3 linked regions of the Saccharomyces cerevisiae S288C genome follow. Changing the gene in region 3 together with the main gene of any one other region gives a genetic interaction. Each region holds a gene or a part of one and is shown on either strand. Other genes may lie near its edges. The genes, in order: ECM15, AIM26 and YLR285C-A.

Region 1 (2,686 bases), on a different chromosome or scaffold from region 3:
GTAAGAAGAGATCTAAGGTTAGAAAGGAGACCTATTCCTCTTATATTTACAAAGTTTTGAAGCAAACTCACCCAGACACTGGTATTTCCCAGAAGTCTATGTCTATTTTGAACTCTTTCGTTAACGATATCTTTGAAAGAATTGCTACTGAAGCTTCTAAATTGGCCGCTTATAACAAGAAATCCACTATTTCTGCTAGAGAAATCCAAACAGCCGTTAGATTGATCTTACCTGGTGAATTGGCTAAACATGCCGTCTCCGAAGGTACTAGGGCTGTTACCAAATACTCCTCCTCTACTCAAGCCTAAGTCACTCACTAGGTATTGTGATTTAGTCATGTTTTCTTTTTATTAGTGGCATTTTTTATATATTGTAACATTAGGGTTCTGTTACTTGTCCAGATATGATTGGAAGGGTCTAGTCTATCAGCCTCCGAAGGGAGTTGTATAAATGTATATATATAACTTTATAAACAAAAAAAATTGGGAAAGATATTTTGCAAACAGTTATTATTAAATTGTTTCTTAAACTCTCCTTAAAGATATACCCTATTTAGGTTCACTACACGAGCATTCATTGAGAAATTTTTTTTAAAACAACATCGATCTTATCTTGAGCAGTTTGGTGCTTATCAGTTCTAGTCCCAACACGAATATCAGTGTGTACTCTAACATATCCTTTCTCATGACCGTATTCATGGATTTCGCCAATCAAACCCATCACATCATCCCAAGGCCCTTCAATTGTTGTTCCTGCACTGTGTAAAGTGCTCTTTAATGGGCTTTCTCTGATTTTTTTTTCAATGAGTGCAACAAAATCAGAAATACTAGCAGAGTCGGTGCCAATAGGGACCATACACACGTCCGCTAAACAAAAGATCTTGGGCATTTTCTAAACTTGTAGTTTATGTGCTTTATAGTTAATGATCACGACGGCAATGACAAAAACTGAATATCTTGATCTCTCCTTTTGACGATGTCAGTGAATCCCGGTTAATGATATTCTGTTTTTCACGGGGTGGAAAAGAGGGGAGCTTGAATCATACTAAAAAAGGAATGTCAAAGAGCTATATAATTCGAATAAAAAGTAAAAGAAACGAAAGGTTTTATTAAAGGGTTTGGAGCTGTTTTCGGACTGAAAGCCAGTAACAAGCTTGTGTAGGAGTTTGTCTGAAAACCATCTTCATTTCAAATAAGAGAGCGAGTAATTTTTAAATAATTTCTTTTCTGAACTACTTAAATCGCTATGTACCTTGCGAAAATTATTCTTTAATAGTTTAACTAAAAGTAAAAAGTTAGAAATCATAAATAAAAAATCAAAGAGACAAATCTCGTTGCAAAAGCTTGAAAAATAGTGCTTTACCAACAGGTTGGCAAACCAGAATGCTAACAAAACTTAAAATCCCATTTCCCAAGAGGATCAATCAATCATATTTACCTTGATAGTATAGGATACAAGTGTCTGTGCAGGCCTCCGATAACATGTAAAGTAATAAAAGTAGGAGTACTTGCTTTCAGCAGAAAATGAAAAAAAGAACGTTCAAACAGACTGAAAATATAGCTATTCAACTGGCACCTACTAATATCAATAATAATAAATTAATCTTGAGCAAATTGATCCTACATAAATCATGTGACTTATTTATTTAATTATTATTAAGTAAAAAAGATTTTCTATTTAAATTTATTAATTAATTTTTTTTCTTAAATAATTATTTTATGTTTTTGTTTTCCGAAAAAGAAAAATATTTCAACAAGAAGTATCAATATATTTCTTGCAAAAAATTGTTCACCGAGAATTGACAAAAAAACCTTACGTCGGTGACGACGATATACAGATCCTATATTCTTCATGTATGTAATAGATTCCCATACCTTCTTCGCATTTAAGACACTAATAGAAATGAAAGCTTTCTATTAGTCATTCTTCCTATGCACTAGACCACGCAAAGGTGAACCGGCTTGGTACGAGAATTCTATCACACGGTAATGATAGTGTTCCCGATGTCAAGCAGTCTTATACAGTACTACCCAAGAGCTTAAGAATAAGCAAGAAGATCTGGCAAGCTACAAGGTACTCATAACGATCTTCAAAGCGTAAGTTATGATCTTATGAAAATCAGACTTTTTTGTCTCAACAAACTCCTAGTTTGAAGATGTTACTGAAATGCCCTTCAAACACTTTTACTTGAAAATCATCGATTACTATTCTAACCTTCACAAATGAGCCTTTACACAACTTGATTAATAATAATATTTGACCTTACTCTAAATCGTCTCAAATATTACTGAGGCACAATCTCATGGTTATTGATAGAAAGAAGAATATAACATATATCTTATTTACATATGTTCGTCAATATTATAGGTAATACAATTTTTTCTCAGAGGGTTTCAAACTATTGAAAAATGGCAATGGTGGACTACAAGCAGCGAGAGCCCTTCTTGCATGATTATTCATATATTTCAATCCGAGCAAATAACTTGTGTTCACCCAACCAAAGCCTTCTGTAGCGACGCCCTTAAAATCAGCACCTTGATTACCATATTCCGCATCAACGCGATGCGGATCAGTCCCTCTTGTCACATCATATTTTTCTACCACCATTCCGTTATAATCAACAAATGATTTTGTAATCATGTACAGCCACCTATAAGCCAATCTTGTAGCTACTTGTTGATAACCA
Region 2 (3,024 bases), on a different chromosome or scaffold from region 3:
GGATTTCCGATCATACCTTTAAACAAAACGACCTTGACCAGTGACTTATTGTTAGTTAACACACAGCCAATTTCCAATATACACGAAGTCAATTCATATGTTATTTTGTGGTTTAGAAATTCATTGGAATTGTTAGTTCGTGTTGCTCTGAAACAAAAGCCAGGTGGCAAGTTTTTCGATAATATTGTTGGCGTGGCTTTGTCGCCAAGTAATGACAACAACAAAGCTGGGTTCACTACAGCCACGGCAAGGGATGATGCTGAAAAAACAAGACGTGATTCACATAATGAAGTACAGGATACTTTGGAAGTGCAAAGCGTTTTTATTGCCGCCCTCAATGAATGTTTCCAAAAAATCGTGGATATTCATCCCAAATTCAGAGAAAACAACGACCAAATTTCGCCGAAGATCAAAGTCATTTATTTATCTACTTTTATTCTTTTAAATTACATTTTGGCATTTGTTGGATACGATAACTCATTTGTACTTGGAATGTCGGTGACAATTTTTAACGAATTTAAATTATACAAACTTCTATTATTTCCGGAGCCGGATATAAATGATGTGAAGCCTCCAGTTGATGAAGAGGTCAGCACTGGTAATGGGAATACAAAAACGTCCGAATTTGAAATTGGATCTGAAAGTGCTGGGCATATGAATCCATCCAATTCACCAAATTCCATGGACGAAAACATTAGTCACTATTCAGTGTTGTTTAAAAGATTATACGTTTTGCTTTCAGTGTTTGATTCTTTACAAAGCTGTGCATTCGGTGGTCCCAAGCTATTAAACATTTCCATCCAAGGTTCTACAGAAAGATTTTTTTCTAATGATTTGGGCTCAAAATGGTGCCTGGAACAAAGCCAATTGAGACTGAAAAGCGTCTTGCAAAGCTTGAAATTGGGTGAATTGATGAGTGAGCTTACCAGGAATAGAATATCAATGAACGGCAATAGGAAGCCTGGGTTCGATATTACGAACTCGTCTTCACTCTTATCGGAATATGTGGAAACTCAACCTCTATCCGTAGCACAGTTATTTTGCAAGCTATTAATTGGCAAACACAATTTCATCAATTGCTTATTATCATTATACGATTCAGAAGCAGGAGTCTATTCAGATTTGACATTGGATTTGAGTTCGAAAATAGCAGACTCTCTGTGCTCATTGATATCAATAATTTTGCAAGTATTGACGTTGATATTAAGACTGAATCCTACGAACAGTATTGATTTTAATTATAGACCACCGAACCCACCCGCTAATAATCCGACAGTGCAAGAGGGCCCATCTGCTATGGGCTCGTCTCCAGTCGCTGGGAACCTTAGCGCTGCACCTCCATCGGAGGGGAATCCAGATTTTTACAAGAAATTACTAGGCCTGAAACAAGACACTGGCACTATCCTTTCAGACCTTTGCCGGGGGATAATTTCCCCCTTTGCTATTGCTATCCTGCACGAGGTCTACAACATCACTGAACTGGTCAAGCAGATGCCTACATCACTCATTAGCATTATGATGACGGCAACTACAACGCAGAATACTCAGGACACCAAGAAGTCGCAGGACCTGGTCATGAAGCTGTCAAACTCGATGAATGAAGTAGTTCAAATCACCAGCGTGCTGACAATGATCAAGCCATTCAAGATCTTCGAGCACGAGCTTAATAAGCCCATAATGTCCCTGACAGGAGGACTTTCGTCCACGACCAGAAACGACGTCATGTGGCCAAAGTCGGGCCAAGGCCTCCGCGAGTCATCAGTCATGAAGACATTGCTTGATGAACGCCGTACTTCTGGTACACAACCGACAACGGCGCCAGTAGCCGCAGAGGAACCCAGGCTTGAGAACGTTGCCCTGGAAAATTTCGTTAGTATCGGCTGGAAGCTGTTGGACGATTCCGAGTTAGGCTGGTATTGACAGGTAACTATGCTCCCTTCTCCTGTAGGTCAGGTTCTCCCTTCTCCTCAGGCAGAAATTCGCGTAAAGAACTACCATGCAATGAATGACCAATTTAAGTAAAACACATAAATAATACTTACTTACACATATACACACTAGCTGTTTTAACCTGTAACAATACTGCCTTGTCAGAGTGCGCACGGCCTTTTACTCTGGTGCTCCACCATCTTCCACGGTATTCGAGAGTCGCCAAGCTCAGGGGCGCATGCAGACAATGGGCGGGGAGCACCTTCTTCTTTCACAGCTAAAGGGGTCTTTCTTTCTCCTACTTTTGGCATACTTTTTCAGGGGCAGAAGTCCTTATTACGCACGTTGCTACCGCCGGCTTGCTGTTACACCTGGTGCCATCACTATTGCCATTGCCATTGCTACAGATTCAATTCCGGCGCTTGCAAAGTCCAAAGTTCTGGTGTCGGTTTGTTCTCACACAGATCCCTGTACAGCGTCTTGTAACCTGATCCCCTTCCCCCGCCCCTTCTCGAACAGCCTGACGCGCTTCCTCTTTTGTTTGGGCTCGGCCCGTTTTTGCATTTCCTTTCCCTGTTTTGGATTGAGTATATAAATCTAAACAAACAACAAAGTTCTTCCAGCAGGTACCATGAGATTGAAGTTACGGTTTTAGGAGTTGGAGATTCAATTTCTGGTTCTTTCCACATCAGCAACGTTAAAAGGCCTAGTCCTCTTCCGATTATATAATATAACTTCCACAGCAAGTGTACCATAACATAATAATGTCCACTAAGAAGCACACCAAAACACATTCCACTTATGCATTCGAGAGCAACACAAACAGCGTTGCTGCCTCACAAATGAGAAACGCCTTAAACAAGTTGGCGGACTCTAGTAAACTTGACGATGCTGCTCGCGCTAAGTTTGAGAACGAACTGGATTCGTTTTTCACGCTTTTCAGGAGATATTTGGTAGAGAAGTCTTCTAGAACCACCTTGGAATGGGACAAGATCAAGTCTCCCAACCCGGATGAAGTGGTTAAGTATGAAATTATTTCTCAGCAGCCCGAGAATGTCTCAAACCTTTCCAAATTGGCTGTTTTGAAGTTGAACG
Region 3 (2,369 bases):
TTTTCCTATTATCTTTCTTGAACCAATTTCCAACCCTTGGTTTGAACTTTGCCAACGCATGCTCTGATACTTTTTCTGATGGCTTACTTCACTGCACCCAGATTGCTGAAGATATTGAAACTTGCCAGTCCCTAGGAAAGAAAGTTCTATTATCATTAGGTGGTGCATCTGGTAGCTACCTCTTTTCAGATGATTCTCAAGCGGAAACTTTTGCACAAACTTTATGGGATACTTTCGGTGAAGGTACAGGTGCCAGTGAGAGACCATTTGACTCAGCAGTCGTTGATGGTTTTGATTTTGATATTGAAAACAACAACGAAGTAGGCTATAGTGCGTTAGCTACCAAGTTAAGAACTTTGTTTGCCGAAGGTACAAAGCAATATTACCTTTCTGCCGCACCACAATGTCCATACCCGGATGCTTCTGTTGGTGACTTGTTGGAAAATGCAGACATTGATTTTGCGTTCATCCAATTTTACAATAATTACTGCAGTGTGAGTGGTCAATTCAATTGGGATACTTGGTTAACCTATGCTCAAACTGTATCCCCAAATAAAAATATCAAACTGTTCTTAGGTTTACCTGGTTCTGCTTCTGCTGCTGGCTCTGGTTATATTTCTGACACTTCTTTATTGGAATCAACTATTGCAGATATTGCCTCTTCAAGTTCTTTTGGTGGTATTGCGTTATGGGATGCATCTCAAGCCTTTTCCAACGAGCTAAATGGTGAACCATATGTTGAGATTTTGAAGAATTTGCTAACAAGTGCTAGCCAGACCGCCACTACTACAGTTGCCACCTCAAAAACCTCAGCAGCCTCAACTTCATCTGCTTCAACTTCATCTGCTTCAACTTCTCAGAAAAAGACCACACAATCTACGACATCTACACAAAGTAAAAGCAAAGTTACTTTATCTCCAACTGCAAGCAGCGCTATCAAAACATCAATTACTCAAACTACAAAAACATTGACGAGTAGCACCAAGACAAAATCTAGTCTAGGTACCACCACAACAGAGAGCACTTTAAATTCAGTTGCTATCACAAGTATGAAAACTACTCTATCTTCCCAAATAACCAGTGCTGCCTTGGTGACCCCTCAAACAACTACTACTAGCATAGTTTCTTCGGCCCCAATTCAAACAGCTATCACTAGTACTCTTTCGCCAGCAACGAAGAGTTCTTCTGTCGTTTCCCTACAGACAGCTACTACTAGTACGCTTTCCCCAACAACGACCAGTACAAGCTCAGGTAGTACAAGCTCAGGTAGTACAAGCTCAGACAGTACAGCTCGTACATTGGCTAAAGAATTGAATGCTCAATATGCGGCTGGTAAATTGAACGGTAAATCTACCTGTACTGAAGGTGAAATTGCATGCTCTGCTGATGGGAAGTTCGCCGTTTGTGATCATAGCGCTTGGGTTTACATGGAATGTGCTTCTGGAACCACATGTTATGCTTATGACTCCGGCGACTCAGTCTATACCCAATGTAATTTCTCTTATTTGGAAAGCAATTACTTTTAAAGTTATTAGAGATTGATTCATAGAGTCCGAATATTTTTTTTTGCAATATTCTTTATTTTTCACCTCATCTCACCGCCTCTCTTTTATTTCGTCAAGGTACCCTGCCTTCATGTTTTTACGTTTTTATAATCGACTACTTTATATCTATAACGAATTATTTAATTTTCTTCGATTTACTGTGTTTCTACCATTTTGCGAATTCGTGCCCCATCATGACTTATTTTATTTAATTGTTACATATCAAAGGACACTGGTTTACAAACATAAAAATGATTGTTGAGAATGCCAATTCCGCCCACTTACTACTTTTCATGTGTTAAATAGTACGCATAAACACGAGATCTGACTTCGATTGTTTCCTCGTCTTCGTCAAACATCGGTTTCCAATTAACCATTTCAATTAGCTGAGGAACCAAATGGAACTCGTTCTTAGCCAATTCGAAGAATTCTAAATCCTTCTCCAACAATTTTGGTCTATGCGGTGAAAATACTACCAACGCCTGACCTTTCTCAGCTAATAAATCCTTTGTTGTTTGAAGTAATTTGTGATGTTCCGTATGATTGAAGACTAAATCACTTAAAATGATTAAGTCAAACTTTCCATTATTGTTACCTATTTTTTCGATATGTGCCAACAATGGAGAATAATCGTTTCCCCAAATATAACCCTCCGTACTGACATTATTAAAATCTTCAGGAACGTTAGACTTTATATTATAATCGATGTTCTGCATTAAATCAGGATCTGGATAATCAGTTGAAACAACCATTTGAGCCCCATTCAAAGCACAAATAACGGAAGGTAAAGCAGCAGCAGCACCCAATTCTAAAACAGTCTTCCCC

Evidence for each region.
Region 1: mutations in YLR285C-A (region 3) and ECM15 together harm fitness more than expected from each alone (negative genetic interaction), as found in Saccharomyces cerevisiae (one large-scale study listed by BioGRID).
Region 2: mutations in YLR285C-A (region 3) and AIM26 together harm fitness more than expected from each alone (negative genetic interaction), as found in Saccharomyces cerevisiae (one large-scale study listed by BioGRID).

The regions. Positions count from the first base shown.
Region 1 is NC_001134.8:236,580-239,265, forward strand, and holds ECM15 (Ecm15p), read right to left. Parts: upstream 889-2,686; coding exon 574-888; downstream 1-573. Other genes in the region: HTB2 (histone H2B), read left to right, coding at 1-308; alpha,alpha-trehalase NTH2, read right to left, coding at 2,362-2,686.
Region 2 is NC_001143.9:367,198-370,221, forward strand, and holds AIM26 (Aim26p), read left to right. Parts: upstream 1-2,167; coding exon 2,168-2,524; downstream 2,525-3,024. Other genes in the region: RGT1 (Rgt1p), read left to right, coding at 1-1,920; UGP1 (UTP glucose-1-phosphate uridylyltransferase), read left to right, coding at 2,694-3,024. UniProt on the Saccharomyces cerevisiae protein: Involved in selective mitochondria autophagy (mitophagy).
Region 3 is NC_001144.5:707,605-709,973, reverse strand, and holds YLR285C-A (uncharacterized protein), read left to right. Parts: upstream 1-1,635; coding exon 1,636-1,806; downstream 1,807-2,369. Other genes in the region: CTS1 (chitinase), read left to right, coding at 1-1,526; NNT1 (S-adenosylmethionine-dependent methyltransferase), read right to left, coding at 1,829-2,369.